Linked DNA regions of Drosophila melanogaster. The gene in region 2 interacts genetically with the main gene of each other region. Each region holds a gene or a part of one and is shown on either strand. Other genes may lie near its edges.

Evidence for each region. A genetic interaction does not mean that the proteins touch.
Region 1: of polo (region 2) and numb, changing one suppresses a phenotype caused by changing the other (phenotypic suppression), as found in Drosophila melanogaster (2 studies listed by BioGRID).
Region 3: of polo (region 2) and BubR1, changing one suppresses a phenotype caused by changing the other (phenotypic suppression), as found in Drosophila melanogaster (2 studies listed by BioGRID).

Annotation. Positions count from the first base shown.
Region 1 is NT_033779.5:9,448,211-9,452,870, reverse strand, and holds the start of numb (numb), read right to left. Parts: upstream 3,042-4,660; 5' UTR 2,490-3,041; intron 2,276-2,489; 5' UTR 2,251-2,275; intron 1-2,250.
Region 2 is NT_037436.4:20,307,873-20,313,980, forward strand, and holds polo (polo), read left to right. Parts: upstream 1-1,781; 5' UTR 1,782-2,437; coding exon 2,438-2,536; intron 2,537-3,176; coding exon 3,177-3,401; intron 3,402-3,462; coding exon 3,463-4,245; intron 4,246-4,310; coding exon 4,311-4,739; intron 4,740-4,806; coding exon 4,807-5,001; 3' UTR 5,002-5,594; downstream 5,595-6,108. Other genes in the region: SCCRO4 (squamous cell carcinoma-related oncogene 4), read left to right, coding at 1-50, 222-475, 537-744, 875-954; alphaSnap (alpha soluble NSF attachment protein), read left to right, coding at 5,921-6,012. UniProt on the Drosophila melanogaster protein: May play a role in regulating both nuclear and cytoplasmic aspects of the mitotic cycle. Regulates localization of the augmin complex during mitosis by ensuring its location on mitotic spindles.
Region 3 is NT_033778.4:5,968,558-5,975,980, forward strand, and holds BubR1 (Bub1-related kinase), read right to left. Parts: upstream 5,829-7,423; 5' UTR 5,727-5,828; coding exon 5,400-5,726; intron 5,337-5,399; coding exon 4,941-5,336; intron 4,565-4,940; coding exon 1,601-4,564; intron 1,439-1,600; coding exon 1,191-1,438; intron 1,131-1,190; coding exon 683-1,130; 3' UTR 542-682; downstream 1-541. Other genes in the region: mle (maleless), read right to left, coding at 6,633-7,423.

The sequences.
Region 1 (4,660 bases), on a different chromosome or scaffold from region 2:
CTTTATCAGCGCACAACCAGCTGACAGACCGGAAATTGAACTGGCTCATTAAAGGCAATAAAAAAGGAGCTAGGAACGGAAATTCTCGTAATCATATCCAAGCATGCCCTTTGACATTCTTAAGGCGCTGCGGCTTTGGCCAACTTAGCCAAGCCAAGGCCAAGTTATTACCAAGTTGGCGTGTCGACTTAGTCGGGTCTTCGAGAGGCGAGAAAAGTTTTTGGCATTAATGCGAAATGTTTGCTGTTCAGCTTTACGGCTAGTTAGCTATTGGCAGGCAAGAAAAATGCCAAGTATAAACAAAAAGTTACAAACTCTCTAATACCCTTTAAGGTTCATAATTGTAATTTTTTGCAGACTTTCAAAGCAATTGCAAGTGGTTTTTATAAAAGAAATACAAGTGGGGACACCTAAAGGAATCCCCGTGTCTTCTAGGCCGATTTAATAGCGTTATTTTCTATTAAAATCTGCCTGTTAATCGACGCAGCATTTAAGTATCAACTTAATGACAAAACGTTTACATGCATAATTATCCAATTTTTTGCATTTTTAATTTCCTGCCTTAGATGTAGAATGCCAGGTGCCACATGCCCGCTGTGTCCCGTCTCCAGAGCTAAGTTAATGGCCCAGAAGTTGAAGTTCTAGCTGGCAGCCATGACTTGGAGTTAGACTTGGTCTTGGACTTGTTCCCGTGTTCTTGACTTGTCCAACGTCTCTCTTTGTTGGCAGTTGGCTGGCTGGCTGCTGCTGCTGTTGTTAATCATCGGCGTTGCAGCATAAAAATAGAAAGGAAATTCCATGAAATTAAAGTTTTATGCAGCCACAGCCGAGGCAGCGATCAAGTTGAAGTTGAAGTTGAGGTCTAACTCCTCGACTGAGTGTTGAACTTGCAGAGCGATGGGATGGAGCTCGAGGATGGGGCGCTGGAGCTTGGAGCTGAGAGCTGAGAGCTCGGTCTTAGCCAAACGTTTAGCGAAAGCCGCGTCTCGAAGAATGCAGTCGACTTGGCATAATCGAAAGGCATGTGAGAAAAGTTGGAGTCGGCTGGCTGCCAGCCAGCCACCAAACCGGTTCCATTCGACGCGGCTCCACCATCCCAGAGTTGGCTTAACTCAAGTCCAACTGCACCCAGGTAGCATTATGTTCTTACTTTTTTCCTCGGCTTGTTACCAGTTTTTTTTTTCGTTCGTGTTTCTGGCTTTTCTTGGAATGTTTCTGAATGGTTTTTGCTGGAGCTTTTTGCCTGAAGTTTTTATGAACTGCTGAGATTTATAATCTGACCAGGCTGCAAAGCATTGCTACCAAAAAAAAAAGAAAAAAGTGCAGCATAAATCAGGGAGCCCTTTTGGTGGAAACTCAAGATCTTGAAGAACATTCCGAGTAAATCAAGTTGAACAGCATAATTATGCAAAGCAAAAGTATCCCATAGTTTGCGGCTGCAAAAAACTCTCTTCTGGCGAAAGCGGGGGCCAAGTTGGCATTTAATTACACTGTTATTATAATATATTTTCACCCACTCTCGGTTGGTTTCGTTCTCAGCCGCCCCAAACCAATTCATTACTCATTTCAATGGGAAATTTTCCCCATTTTCCATTTTGCCTTTGCCACTTTTCTTTTTTTTCTTCGTTTTGTTTGTTATCGCAGTAATTTATGCAGTTGACAGTCAAATAATTTGGCACACAGTATACATTAAAATAAATTAACTTTACAAAAGAGCTGGGAGAAGAGTTTGTGGTAAGAATATGTGCATGCTTCGGCAGAAATTCATTGGATTTTAAACTGAAATGTGGGACTATATTTGAAATAGTCTAAATAGTCTTTATATACGATCGATTCGAAGAGTTGTAGTCATGCCAAATGATTCATCTTCGGAAACGTGAGAGACTGGAGACCAGTAGAATCCAGTCAATCGTAACTTTTTAGATATATATGTACGTATGTGCGTATGTATGTATGTGCGTTCATGTGATCCAGCCAAAATCAGCTAATTGCTAATTGTGTTTATATATTTCATTTGTTAACCCTCTCTCAACAATTGCTATGTTCAAGTGCAAACTGCAAAGATTTATTGAGTTTTTTAGCTGGGTAATTCATTCTAAATTACTGGTATCGCTATAACCTTAATGGATATACTCCCCCTGATTATTAAAATTAATGCCCCAAAACGTATTTTGAATACTTTAGCTTATTGCGAAGCAAAGTCTAGTATAGTGTTACATAGTTTGAACAGCTGTTTTTAGTTTTCTATACCAATGCATATTGAAGACGTCAAAAACTGGAATTATTACAAAAATGAATATTATGTTTTTACAAATGTCAAAGCAGCAACAACTAGCGTAAAGCTGTAAAAGAATTGCATATGTATATGCAAATCTGATTTTGCACCACAATAAACTCGTTTTGACTTGGCTTTAAATCCGAAGCTCAAGTTAAGCTCAACTTTGGCTGTTGTTACTGTTTTTTTTTTTTTTTTGGTTTTAAACATTTACCATATATATATCGGGATCGGTTTGTATTTGAGTTGCTTTTTTTGGTATATTCCAAAAAGCCGAGTTTTGTTGTCAGTCTGTTTTTGTTTTGATCACATTCGTATGTATAATTAATAAATAAATCCGGTTCGGGCCTTATATAACTTTCTTGCTCATTCAGTGGATTTTTGCCAACGTTTCGGTTTTAACTATTTATTAATTCCAAGAACACCTCGCACAGCACACAGCACACGGAATGTGGGGAAAATCGCGAAAAACCGAAATAACGACAACGCGACACCGATTAAAACGATCCCCGTGTTAAGAGCCCGGTGCCCGGTAAATGGATGGCTGGGATCGGCTTGGCCCAAAAGGCCTGGACTACTTAGGTGTTAACTTTTTTACTATGACCCCCCCGGAAATTGGAAAAAGGTTACACTATCCCTACGCGGACATTTGGACAACCGACGACGACAGTGGGCCGAAAGCGAATGGAAGCGGAGGGAAAACGGAACGCGTTTGTCCGGCAAGCGGTAAGCGGTTAGCTCGATGCGGCGGCTCAAATTGCTCTACTGTACTGGCTGACTCTGGCCGCACGCTCAGCGCTGTTTGAGTCGAGAGGAAAGAGTGCGAGCGTGCAAAGAGCGGAAGAGAGCGACAGCTGTTACAGGGTGTTTCGGCCTGTGTGTGTGTGCACTGAGAAAAATCGAACAAATTGGCCCTGATTTCAACTAAATGTGGTGTTAAGATCACTTTGAGGGAAGAGTGATCTTACTACTTTTCTATCGATTTGGAAAAGGTCGTCATCAAAGGGTATTGCCTTATTCTATTACGCGCTTTTAATACAACCTATTAAGCCATTATTATCATAGTGTTTTATTTTATTTATTATATTACAAGTTGTTAAGTCCTCTTAAAACTTTAAAGTGATTTTTTCAGTGCACCAGTACGTTTGTGGATTTGCTCAGTTCCATTGTGTTTATTTACTACCAACGACGACGTCGTTTTGCTTCTTCCATCTCACCTCCGCTCTGCTGCGTTTGTATTTGTTGTGATAATGATAAAACTGCGACGCGTTTCTGCAGCTTGTAGGTTTTCAAGAGTGGGAGTGAGATAGCAGAAGTTGAGCGAGCGAGAGTGGCGTTTAAGGTATCTCGGCCAGGTATAATCTCAGATGCGCTGCATTTAGAGATCGCGATTTGGTGACCGTGGCTTAAAAGATTTGCGGTTGGGATAAGTTGAGAAAATTCTTGGAAAACACGAGCTCAATTTTATTATTTAACTCTGGGAATTTCCCAAATGGGCCAGTGCTAAGATAATTACAAAGCCGGGTAGTTCAAAAAGGTCCTCTTATTGTTTTGTAATATCTCTGGCTCTCAGATTTATCGCTAACCCATACGCCTTGGATTTAAAGTTCGGAATTGTCTTTAGTCGTCTTTCTTTAGCAGCGCTCAAATTCTTGGAAACTTTGTAAAATAAATTATGAATTTTGCACGGGTGTAAAAATTACAAGTTTTAAGGATGTTATCTTTAAAAACTTGCGTAATAAAAATTACTAATCCCGAAAATTTTTTTGTCTTCGAAATCAGGATTTGAGATACCCCATTGAAGTGATAGAAGGGCATTCAAAACCAGTTGGTTTCGTTGGTTCTGCAGCTGCCAGTTTTTTCCACATGGAGTATGAAGAGCGAGTGGTTTGGTTTGAATGGAAATGATTATGGCACTCAAGAGAGTCATCAAAGAGAGTTACCAAAGACTTAGCTATTAACAAAATGCAAAAGATGGCTAGGTGGTTATGAAATCCCAACGGACATACAAAACAAATGAAAAGAATAAAAACTGATTAACTGAACAATAATCAAGGCTCGGTAATCAATGTATTGAACTTATCGATTTGAATTAGTTGCCCAACCTAAATTCCGTGACAACAATGGCAAAATGATCGATCGAAACCGTAGAACAAAAGAGCGCGCGATGCAAGGTCGTTCGCTCTTTAAGAGAAAATTGTACCCTAAGAGAAACATAGATAACTCCGAAAGATAAATACCCAAATGTGCGCGTGAGACAGTCATACATATAGATAATAAGAGAGTTTTCAGCAATGAAACGTGCGAAAAATTGCAATGCAGCAGCGACTTTAATCCAGGTAGCCCATAAAATCAGGTAGTAAAAAGAATGGTATCAAAACTATT
Region 2 (6,108 bases):
CATGGCCTGGTTCCAGGAGTACACAACACCAGATGAACCGGAGACATTGGGTGAGTTGGATGACACTGCAGTGTTTTATGTTATTTGAATATGTGCAATATAAAGATATCGGCAATCTTCTTAAATCGCTCAGGCATACCAAATTCTGGGTATATAAAGAAATTGCTTATTTATTTCTTATTGGCCCTTCGAAATACTTATGTAACAAACTGATTCTTCAGGTCCCGATGGCATGGAAAAATTCTGCGAGGATATCGGCGTGGAGCCCGAGAATATTGTGATGCTGGTGCTGGCCTACAAAATGGGCGCCACCCAGATGGGCTTCTTCAGCCAGCAGGAGTGGCTAAAGGGCCTCACAGAACTCGACTGCGATTCGGCAGCGAAAATGGTTGTGAAATTGGACTATCTGCGCAGCATACTCAACGATCCCAACTCCTTTAAAAGCATCTACAGATACGCCTACGACTTTGCCAAGGTCAGTAATCCATTTGAATAAACAATGAGCTGCGTTTAATAAGGCTCTGCATATTCCGCAGGACTCGGACCAACGGTGTATGGATATACTCACTGCCAAAGCCATGCTTCAACTACTTTTGGGCAAACATTGGCCTCTGTATCCACAGTTCGCACAGTTTCTAGAGCAATCAAAGTACAAGGCGATCAACAAAGATCAGTGGTGTAATATTCTCGAGTTCTCGCGCACCATTAGCATTGATCTATCAAACTACGATATCGACGGAGCTTGTAAGTAACACAAAGGAGCTAACTAAACTAAACTGAACTATGTATTTCGCAACCGTATTAAAAGAAGCTGATAAATAAGTTAAAATAAGAACTTGAAACGGAGCATTTAGTTACCCCCATCTTTTTGCAGGGCCCGTCATGCTGGATGAGTTTGTTGAATGGCTGCGCCTGCAGCGGAGTCAGGTCACCTCCACAACCGGATCTAGCTGAGAAAAGCTGTATCGAGTCGCCTATTTCTAGTTCAACTTTGGGAGCTCAGTGCGGAGAGGAGTTCGCGGAGACTGAGTCGGAGATGGGATGCGATGCGATGGGATGGGAATGCTGATAAGATAGATCGGCGAAAATTTAAGACATAACCGCAGGACACTCACTGACACCCACACCCACACTCAGATCCACGATCAGATCCACCAGCCACTTCTTCGGCCTAAAACACACAAGCACACACTCACCCACACGGAAACACAAGGCATTTTGGAGAGACTGCGTACACTGGCAAAGCAACCAACTATGAAACTAAACTATTGATAATATATTTAATGTAATAATTTATGTATTAACGACGACAACTAAGAACTAAAACCACATTTTTCTACTTATAAGGCCTCTTTCGCAAACAAAAACAAAACATTAAAATCAGAACAGCAACAAGAGCCAAAACGGGGCAGCTTGTAAGGAGTAATCCCAGAGAACGAAACGATGGCAATAACCAAGAGACCCCAAATAGACCTATTCTAGAACATACAATCCTCCAACCCAAGCGACCCCTTCGAGATATCAGCAGGCATAGTCAAAATCTAAACGGAAATCTACACCAATAGTGGGGTATTCGTAGTCGTTATTAAATCAATGTAGAAAAACAAAATCTGGGGATTATTTAATAAAGTTATTAAGTAAACACATTATTTTTTCTATTTACTTGTGTGTGTTTTAGTGTTGTTTTTTTTTTATCAAAATTATTTTTAACCGTTATTTGAAAGTTTAACTGAAAAACATAGAAGGCTTTGAGATAGCTGTTTCTAATAATTTCTTTTTAACACAAATCAGGATCGAAACCTGCAATTACAAGGTGGCAGTATTTTTACTCAGAAAACGTTTGCAGCAATTCAAATTAGAAAAGGGGCTCTACAATATAAAGTTGACCGTTGACTGTTTAGTAAACTCAATTTATGAAACCCTTTTGAAATTTCAAAAATGTAACGTTAGTTTTTGTAGATTTTCAAATAAATAGCGGTTAAACACAGTGTTGCGCAGAGCAATAGGAAAAAATATTGCGCTCAATTCGAACAGAGTAAACGCCAGTAGGTAAATTCAAAAGGGTAACGGCCATAGAATTTGTTGTTCAACACTCAACAAAATACCGCGATACATACCAGAAAGTGTGCGATAGCCAGCGAAACGGGCACACCAATTCAGCTGACGCTTCACGTCCAATTCATTTTGGCATTTAAAAAATCGAACGGTTTCGGCGCGTTCTCCGCTTTGTGCTTGGTTTTCGTGCATTCGATGGGCAAAACCGAGATTTGATCGCCGCTTCTCTTGTCAACCGTGTGGATCTGATCTCCGTTTCCGAGGCACTTTCAGCCGATCGCCGGTGGAATTATAGGCTCAGAACGAGGAGTATCGCCGCAAAACTCCAGGCGAACGCAAACGCAAAAGGGGCAGTCCGTAGTAAAGAAGAAAGGAGAGCAAGATGGCCGCGAAGCCCGAGGATAAGAGCACGGATATTCCGGATCGCCTCGTCGACATCAACCAGCGGAAAACCTACAAGCGCATGCGGTTCTTCGGCAAGGTGAGTCCGGATGCGGATTTGCAGATGCCCGGGATCAGATCAGTCGAAGGGATCACACATTTACCTACACGCACACATGCACGCACCCGCATACACACATATCCATTTCCACATCCCGGTTTTCGTTCCGTTTTCCTTGCTGATGAGCATTCCCTTGTTGTTTTTGTAGCTCTCTCCTTTAAGAGCAGGAGAGAAAAAGAGAGCCTGTGTGTGGGAATCTTGTACGAGCCTGTGTGTGTGTGTTCATGCAGTTGGCTGCTTGTTCAGTTTTTTTTTTTGGCGCGGCTTCTTCGAATTTACATAGACAAGAAAAGGAACTGTTGCAACTTAGTTGAACCAACAATTTCCTCGTTGTGCTATTGGCATATAAATATTTTCTTGGAAGGGGCTCCGCAGATTGGAGCAAAGGTACTAAACATGTGATTGTTAAATATAAATTACTAATTTTATGTTGCCAACCAATATGGATAAAAAGTTTATACAGAATATGTTTGTAAAATAGACATCAATACGTTTATTAAACGCCATTTACTTGAAAATACCTATATGCAAAGTTTTATCATAGATCTGTTTTTAATACAGTATAAGGTTATGTTTTTGTATAATGTTTTTAAATACAAAATTAATATGCTTTATGCAGGGCGGGTTTGCAAAATGTTACGAGATCATCGATGTGGAAACCGACGACGTCTTCGCCGGCAAGATCGTATCCAAGAAGCTGATGATCAAACACAATCAGAAGGAGAAGACCGCCCAGGAGATAACTATTCACCGCAGCCTTAACCATCCGAACATTGTCAAGTTTCACAACTACTTTGAAGATTCGCAGAATATCTACATTGTGCTGGAGCTGTGCAAGAAAAGAGTGAGTTTAATAGAACATCTCTGCAATATGCCACCATGACACTTACCTCTCCGACTTACAGTCCATGATGGAGCTGCACAAACGTAGGAAAAGCATTACGGAGTTCGAATGCCGCTACTACATTTACCAGATAATCCAGGGCGTTAAGTACTTGCACGATAACCGCATTATCCATCGAGATCTGAAGCTGGGCAATCTCTTCCTCAACGATTTGTTGCACGTGAAGATCGGGGATTTCGGGTTGGCCACGCGCATTGAGTATGAGGGCGAGCGAAAAAAGACCTTATGCGGAACGCCCAACTATATAGCCCCGGAGATCCTCACCAAGAAGGGCCACTCCTTCGAGGTGGACATCTGGTCGATTGGCTGCGTCATGTACACACTGCTTGTGGGCCAGCCGCCGTTCGAAACCAAGACTCTGAAGGATACGTACTCGAAAATCAAGAAGTGCGAGTACCGCGTGCCCAGCTACTTAAGGAAACCGGCGGCGGATATGGTCATCGCCATGCTGCAGCCAAATCCGGAGAGCCGCCCGGCAATTGGTCAGCTGCTGAACTTTGAGTTCCTCAAGGGCTCAAAGGTGCCCATGTTCTTGCCCAGCTCTTGTCTGACAATGGCGCCGCGTATCGGCAGCAACGACACCATCGAGGATTCGATGCACCGCAAGCCACTGATGGAGATGAACGGCATCAGGCCCGACGACACTCGTCTGGAGTCGACCTTCCTCAAGGCCAATCTGCACGACGCCATTACCGCGTCAGCGCAGGTGTGCCGCCACAGCGAGGACTATCGCAGCGATATCGAGAGCCTGTACCAGCAGCTCACTAATCTTATCAACGGAAAGGTAAGTACCTTTTGCTCTATATTAGTTAAATAATTTAAGACTCTTATACCTCTTCACTTCTTTAGCCGCGAATTCTGCAAGGCAATCTGGGCGACGAGAACACAGATCCTGCAGCGCAGCCGCTCTTCTGGATATCCAAGTGGGTTGACTACAGCGACAAGTACGGATTTGGTTACCAGCTGTGCGATGAGGGCATCGGCGTGATGTTCAACGACACCACAAAGCTGATCCTGCTGCCGAATCAGATCAACGTACACTTCATCGACAAGGATGGCAAGGAGACGTACATGACCACCACGGATTACTGCAAGTCGCTTGACAAGAAGATGAAGCTGCTGTCGTACTTTAAGCGCTACATGATCGAGCACCTGGTGAAGGCAGGTGCCAACAATGTGAACATTGAGAGCGATCAAATCTCGCGTATGCCCCATTTACACTCCTGGTTCCGTACAACATGTGCCGTAGTTATGCATTTGACCAACGGTTCTGTGCAGGTTTGTATAATTGTACAGCATCGGCATCATGTACATCTGGTCCTAATGAACTATCTATCCTTCTTAGCTAAACTTCTCAGATCACATGAAGCTCATCCTCTGCCCGCGCATGAGTGCTATAACCTATATGGACCAGGAGAAGAACTTCCGCACCTACCGATTTTCGACCATTGTGGAGAACGGCGTGTCTAAAGACTTGTACCAGAAGATCCGATATGCCCAGGAGAAACTTAGGAAAATGCTGGAGAAGATGTTCACATAAGCGTAGCCAGCCCAACTATCATTATAAGGCCGAATGTTAGTTTAACGTAATTCACGAATGCCCTGGCCAACTTCATTTATAGCCCAGAAAGTATCCTCCTCTCCCATCATCTTTTAAAATTGTAGTTCCCGTTCAAATTGATTTGTTCGATGTTTATAGAATTTATTTGTTTTTGCCCCTTCCCCTTCATATCGAAAATACTGCTTAAGTTATATTCATCGTCAGTGTTGGGCCTCCCTCAAAAGTAATTTAATATATCTGTTTAATGGTTTTCGTACACGATCCGATCACTTAATGCATTTTAAAGAGATCAAATTAAATGTTTAAACTAAGCAAACGTGTTTCGAAATGCCTATATTCACCGAGGTGACTGATAACAAAATTTTAATGCTGGATACATTATAAAAGTAATAGTGTAATATTGTGCGTTCGTAGTGCGCTATAGCGCCATTTAAAATAATACATAAGTTACAATACTGCTGCAAAGTGTTTAAGTGTACAAGTATATTCAACTTTGGCCAGAAATATCTGTAGCTATAGGATACAATATGTAAATGCTTTTGAACTAAAAGCGAATATATATAAAATTTAATAAAATATCTGAAAAAAGATTGTTTGCAACGTTTAGGGCAGCTGTTCTTAAAATGCACCTGCCAGACTGTAGGTGACGCATTCAGGCGGCTGAGAATTATTTTGAACGAACAAACGTTACAGCCCTTGCATTTCACAACACTGGCATGAGTTATTTGAGAATGCTGTGAGATGGTAACACTGGCACCACTTCTGCGGTCACACCAAGTCAGCATATTGATTTTATTTTCTCGAAAAAAGATCCCAATACGTACACACACTCGCTGAAAAGCCGAACAAGTCTTAAACTTAGATGCAATTAGTGCCGAGGCGGACATAAATCCTCGACATGGGTGACAACGAACAGAAGGCGCTCCAGCTGATGGCCGAGGCGGAGAAGAAGTTGACCCAGCAGAAGGGCTTTCTGGGATCGCTGTTCGGGTGCGTATCAAATCAAAGAAGTTTCGCAATTTCTGTGGGAGTGGGGAAATGGAGCTGTGTCTGGTCTAGCCTAGCATCTCCACAACCCCACAAGGT
Region 3 (7,423 bases), on a different chromosome or scaffold from region 2:
TCGCTATCAATACATATGTATACACATACATAATTAATGGAAAAAAATGTAAGATATGTCGCCAAAAATAAAATTTGACATGTCCTTGCATAATAAGATGAATAAGATTTTGTGTGGAATACACAAACGACTGCCAAACGAGTCCGCGATTCATAAGCACCTACCGCAATCATTGCAATTAAAAGAAATGATCTCGTTTCCCTAAGATTGATAAACCAAGTTTCATGGCATCTAGTGAGAAGATATTCTGCTGCCGTCATTAATACATATGTATATGGCAGCGTCTCCCAGCTGAAAGATGAGGGGCAACGAATGGAGGATTCAAAAATCGTTGTTTCTTCGCCGAATAAAAGGGTATTTGAGATTCGTTGAAAAGTATGCAACAGTCAGAATTACGCGTTTCCAACGTAACTAAATTTATATTCTTGATCAAGGTAAACAGTCGAGTCGATATAACCATGACCCATGATGCACATTCTAGAATAGCCAGTGTTTTATTAGTTAAGTGCCACGGTTTCAAAACAGTCACACACACACTTTTAAAAAACCTTTTCTTTTTATTTTAAATTTTAAAACAGAATAGTTGCGTATTACTTATAGCAACCATTAACCAGTTAACAAGAACGTGTTAAGGTATGCAATGTGAATATGTTTATATTACTATGTTTGCACAAGAAGACAGCTATTTCTGCAATATCGTGTTAAACTTGCTGATTGCCTCGGCAACATATTTTTCCTTTTCGGCCAACGCACATTTAAGCTGCGTACGCAGTTGCTGCAGATTAGGCATGGTGCGACAATCTCTAATGTTAAGCAGAGTGCGGAAGATGTTTTCCCACATTGTGCGCTGAAAGTAGCGTGGCACGTTTGTTTTCGGCATCCAAATCGTGCTCGGAGACCGCTGCACTACTTCCATATAGCGGCCGAAAAGCAGCACATGCATAACGCTTACGAGACCATATAAATCCAATTGGTAAGTCCATGGGCGTCCCGTTCTCATCTCAATGCACTTGAATAGGTCATCATGATGAACATAGTTGAATGTCTGATTGTCCGGAAACAGCTTCATGTCAATAGACACACCGAAATCAATAAGCTGCAGGCTGACTTCGTTGGGATCCGCACATATCCTGAAACAGAAAAAACCTGTGATATTATTGGTGTTGACGAAGAAGCTTTCTGGTTATTACGGTTTCATAAGTAGAAAGTTATCCGGCTTGATGTCGGCGTGGATTATACCCATGGCGTGCAGGTGATCCACAATATCGAGCATTTGGCAACTCAGATGCATTACCACATACTCGTCCATATTCCTGTTAGTGACACTCTTAACCTTGTTGCATACACCGATCAGAGAACCATAGTCTGAAAACTCTGAGATGTATACACTGGAATTATTTCCTACCAGTGCATAGTCAATATGTGCATAGGATGGAATCTGTAAAAGAATTTGCATTCGGTTAATTCGTGTCATGTGACAAGTATTAATAATTATCCCTCTATATGATATGAATAGGTAATATTCTAGGATAATAAACTTGGAATAAAAACTATTTGAAAAATCGGATTTAATGTCCATATATTATTAGTTATGCCTTACCATTTGCTCACTAGTTAGCCGGCTGTGAATCTCTAGACAAATGTAGAACTCCCAGTAGTTAGTGGGCCGTTCCTGCTTGAGCGCGACCTTCTTGCCAGATTTCAGATGCTTTCCTACATAAACCGAGCCATAAGCCCCCTTTCCTATCATTTTAGACACCTCAAACTTTTCGTTGTGCACTTCCAGGTGGGTGTTAGGATGTAGGCGCTTAACGTGTCCAACCAGTTGACAATGGGGCAGCTTTTCGATGTACATAGAAAAGTCAATTGATTCGAGTAGCGAGCTGATCAGTTCTACATTGAAAGGGTTTTTATTAGCGTCTGCCAGCGTTTCGTTCAAAACAGTTTGATCTCCGTTTGAGGTGGGGTGAACAAAGTTTTCCCGCGGAGGAGTTTCTAAATCAGACTGCGACCAGGAACGGTGCGATTGCTTCGGCGTCAGTGGAGTTGTCTTATAGTAGATGCTTAGTTCCGACGCCTCTGCTACCTTTGCGTTAGGGATCAGCAGTGTGGAATTTTTTATCATACTGATATTTGTTGCAAACATTTCAGTAGCTGCGTTAAGCTCGAAAAACTCGTCAGGTTGTTTTGAAATACCGACATTTTCATTCACAGGGGCTTTCCTTGACGATTCTGACATGGAATCGTTGGAAAATTTGATCTTATTCGATGTGCTTGAAATATTCGTTTTGACAACGGAAGCCGGCATCTGTGAAGGACAGCTGCCTATTTCTGTGCAATCTTTCATAAACGAGGCAATCATATGGGAGTGCCCAATATTTTCCTGTTGAGTCCCTGGCTCCTTAATTGCCACCTGTTGCGTTTCGGGCAGCGTGCAGTCTAAGTCAAAGCTGGAGACCATTAAAGCTACTGGTTTTGACTTAGTGAGCTTTGGCTGCGTGTCGTCCAGAAAAATATCAAACTTCTGTATCGCCCCTGATTTTGCTACAGCTTCAGGCTGCGTTTCGGGCACAAAGGAAAGGTCGCACATAAAGGAATCCTGCAGATTGCTGATGCTGGGCGCAGCCTCCAGTTTGTTGCCAGTCACTGCGAAGGATCTCCGATCGCCCTGTGTCGATTTAAAAAGCTGTGAAGTTGGATCGAAATTGCGCTTCGGAGAGCCAAAAATATTTGTTTTCGGCGGTGTCTTTCCAAACAATCCACACAAATCGCTTTCATCCTCCAAAGTGGGAAGTTGCGGTGCGGAAAAACAATTTTCAGCTCCCAGTGAGCCATGATCCATAGAATTCTCCGGCAGTGCGATCGGCATTTGTGGGAGTGTTTCAGTTTTATCTTCCTGAAAGCAAGCAAGAGGTCTTGGGATAGTCTCTGTCTTATCCTCTTGGAAGCGCAACGACTTAAGCATAGGCACGCTAGGCGCATTGGGCTCCCATAACTCACGGCGCAAAAAGTTGTCACCACCCGGTTTTTCCGGCTCGGAAAGGACTGCTGATACACCAGCACTTATCACGCGCTGCAGACGCATTTGTCCAGGAGTGTTCTCTTCAATCTTGCTGCCTAGTTTAGAAACAGCATTGGATCCGGGTGAAGACGTGGAGGTAATAGTGGATTTAGTGGTGGTACCGCTCGTCGCCAAGCTTTGTGTGCCGTGCTCAGAGGTTTCCAATATGGTAGATAGTTGCTTTCGCAAAGTTGGAGAACGAGTCTCCACTGGAGATTCGACGGAATGAGCAGCCTCCTCTGGTAGCGGTAGTTCTTTGAGCACGGTTCCAAATTGACGTGACGGAGCCTGTTTCTGTGTTCCCTTAGGAGTGCTTACTGCCTGCGACTTTATGAACATGTTGAACATTTGCGTGGAGCAGGTCTCATCTCCGTCATAAAACGGCCTTGTTTTTGGAGTTGGCTGCGGCTCTTCAGAGTCTTCATAGATCTCTATTTTCGGAACAGGAACGGCCGGTACAGCAAAATTGTCACGTGGAGAACCGGAATCCTCAAATATTTTAATTTTTGGCTCATCTATTTGATCGCACGGCGATTCAGGTATCTTAGGTGCCACCTGAGAAGGTATATCTTTTACAATCAAAGTGGCTTCATCCTCTTTCTTTTCATCCTCCTCCTGCACAGACGAAACTCTGCGTGGCATGATGGATTTTCTGAAGGAAGAGGGAAAGAAGCTCTTGCGGCGTGGCATCTTGTTTCCGGGCAAGCAAACGGTTTCTTCCATGTCAAAGTCACCATGAACTGTCACATTTCGTTTTTCCATCCATTTAGCTGCCAACAACTCCTCTGGCTGGTACTCCTTTTGCTCAACTTCGTTGTAAATTTTGTCAAAAACTACCTGAAGGCCCGGTACCAGTGGGGGTTTCCAAAACTTGTCTAGCTCATCGAGATCTTGTGGCTTAGAATATCTGGCGAAATTCGGATAGCAGCGAATTCCTCTGATCACCCGTCCAGTGCCCCACCAATCATCATTGCGATGGATAAATGGATGCTGTGGGTTGCGATGCTTCAAAAAGGAATAGGCTCGATACTCTTCGGGCGAGAACTCGATGTTGGGGCGGGGGTAGAGGAGACACTTGTTATAGCAAGGCAGTCCACTTGCGTTTGGCTCGTCCTCAATAGTAACTGGCGTCACCCACGGTTCCTGAGGCCTGTTCTTGGCCACAAAGTTTGTCGGAAATCTAAATGGTTGTTCTAGACGACGCTCGTAGTTTGTAATAGGTGGCATTGCTTGTTCGTCAACGTGTATATCAAAGCCCAGATCCGGCGAGGCGTTACTGCCGAAAATTTTTCCATGTTTGTGGCGTTTAGCATTTGCCTTATTCCAGGCCACCGGTTCTTTTATATTCTCCTGACTGCAAGCCGAGTCGATAATGGATCGCAGGCTTGACTTCACCTCCGTCTCAGAATTAGAGATCGGAATATTTCCCTCAGAATTTTCGTCATTAAACACCTCAACGTTCCGACCTACATTGCGCCTACTGGTGGTGGTTGAAGGCTCGACCTGCAGAATGACAATGTATATTTTTAAAGAAATTTTATTCGATTTAAACCTTTTTTATTACTACTGTATATTGATATAAAAGCTTAGGTGGATTTAAAATCCCTTAGAAAAAATCGAGCTTAACGGCGGGATCTCCAAAAAGTTGGACAGGTTCACCCTAAGCCGTTTAATAAAATACAAATACAAATTAAGGTAAGGTGCACCTGATAGTCAAGGAAACCGACTCGTTCTCTATCGTTCTCTGTTGTTTCTGAATTCTAGAGAAGATAGTCATTAAACATGCATCAAACATAAGTTATAAAAGCAAAATTATACTTGAAACCGATTTCTCTAGCCAACCAAGTTCTTTGTAAACATGAAATAAAAAATCACCCACCTGAACCACGCCTGGGAGGCCGCTTTTAACTGCTGCTCCGGTACGGATGCTGCCCACGGTGATGCTGTTAGAGATCTGCTGCCGGCGACCATGAAGTGATTGCAGTGCTAGCCGTCGCTCGTTAAGTTCCTGGTTTACTGCGTTGGCCTCTTCACCAGTGCTGTAGAGCATGCGCTGGCCCACCGTATAGCCAAAGTGGTGGTGGGCCTCCTTCAGATCCTCTAAGGGCTCTGCGCGGCACTCTAGACCTAAGCGAAAGATCTCGTCGGCCTTGCGCATGTTACCGCTCAGGTCGTAGCTGTAGGCCCAAGCAATGTAGAAATCTGCCAGCATTGTTCCGATCCCGTTGTTGTACATCTGCTGATAAAACTCGATCTTGTCCTTCTGTTTCTCCATCTAAAAAGTGACGAAGTAAAATCGGTGGTTGAGTGATCGTTTAAAATATCATCGGCTACTCACGAATTTAATGAAAAGCTTTATAAGCCGCTTGTCCTGACGGTAGCGCTCGTCGTCTTCAAATTTGGTGAGGCACTGGTGTAGGACAGTCTGCAGACCGGAGCCACTGCCCCCCGCCGGATAGCTCTGCTCGATCCAGCAGATGAACGTGTACCAGGCACCGAGAGGATCCGCGCCTTTGTAGGTGCGCACCTCCTCCTCCATTTGCTTGCGTTGTGCCAGCAGTTCCTGGCCGTGGGTGGAGTCCTGGCTAAGAGAAGCCTGCAGAAGGCTCACATTGCGACCGCTGGCCAGCGGCTGAATGTTCTCTTTCGCATTGTCAAAGTCCATATCGTTCTCCTCAAGCAAATGACCTGAAACTTTTGGTTGTCTTGTATCGGTTAAACAAAAACTACGCGCCGAAGCAAATGCTAGAGATGAATGATACTACGCTCTTTCGATATTTTTAATTGTGTCGTATCGATACTTCGATTGAAAAACTGTTCTCACTGAAGCCGAAATACATACGATAAAAATTGAATTGCTTAGCAACACAACGTCATCACTGACCACCACTTTTAATTGGTAACGAAGCTCACCATCTTGACCAGTAAAAAAGAAGCGTAAGAACAGCTTACTCCAGTTACTATTACATTTCTGGTGCTCCTCAAATCTTTGTGATCTAATATTTATTTGATCAACTTTCATTATTGCTTCGAAAATTATGATATTTTAAAATCACCGCCATATCTGTACAATAATTAATTTTTCTTTTCCCTTCGAGTTTTGATAAGGCACGAAATATGTTTTGCATATATATGGCTTTTTATTGTATATATTGTTGTCATGACATATGTTTTAAAAAGGTCTAATTGCGAAATCAGTAATCGTCTAAAATGCTAGCAGAGATAAAAAATAATGATTACACAGGTTCACCAAAAGCCTTTATAGAATGAATGTTTTTGATCTCATTTTGTGACAATAAACGATTTCCACGCCTTCACAAACGAAATTCCAGCAATATATGTATGTATGCAACAGGTTAGGGAATGTCAGCGGAACTATCATATTTGGTTACTATTTACATACGTTAACTCGTGAATCTATTCGGATCGCACATGCGTATTTAATGCCAAAAAACCAAAAGATTCAATGCGTCTTATTTGTATAATCCCTTCAGCATATCGAAATGCGAATAGTAATGTTTATTATTCTTTTTGTTTTTGAAAAAACCAATACATTTTTTTTATGTATCCGTTAAAAGTTACCCCAGCGGCCGCCTTGGTCGCCATTTCTAAAGCCGCCGCCTGATCCTCTATTGCTTTCAAATGAGTCTCCAAATCCACCTCTCTTGTTCCCATATCCTCCGCCATTGTTTCCATATCCTCCACCATTATTTCTATAACCTCCGCCATTATTTCCATATCCACCATTATTTCCATAACCTCCTGCATTATTTCCATATCCTCCTCCAATATTTCCATATCCTCCTCCATTATTTCCATATCCTCCTCCATTATTTCCATATCCTCCTCCAAAAGTTCTGCCGTTTCCACGGCGACCAAAGCTGCTGTTAGTAAAGCGTCCTGTCTCAAAGCGACCTCGTTTGGGCGGTCCTCCGCCGTCACTGAACTGACGTGATTGGTGCGGCAGAATTCCTGATTCACGCTGCAGTCCGAAGTCTCCGGCGCTCTTAACGCAAAGGTCTTTGACCACTTTGACCAGCTGTGCATAGGGCTCCTCAAGGCGAAGTATGTCGGAAGGGTTGTCGCACGCCACCGTGATAAGATCCTCCAGGGCCGGCTTAAGGGCACCAATCTTGGCCGCAAGTTCCGGCTCTATGTCGAAGTTAAGCCAGTTGTCAACGCGCACTATATTGTTGGCGGCCAAGTCAATCTTGCGCGATCCAAACAATATCACCTGCAAGGGCGAGACCATAGATAGTTGCTTGCAGGAAACAGCTCGCGTGCGAATCTTCTCGCCGAAAACGAAGAACGGATACGGAAATGTGACGGCCAAGTTGCTGCAATTCACCGAGGTTTTGTGCA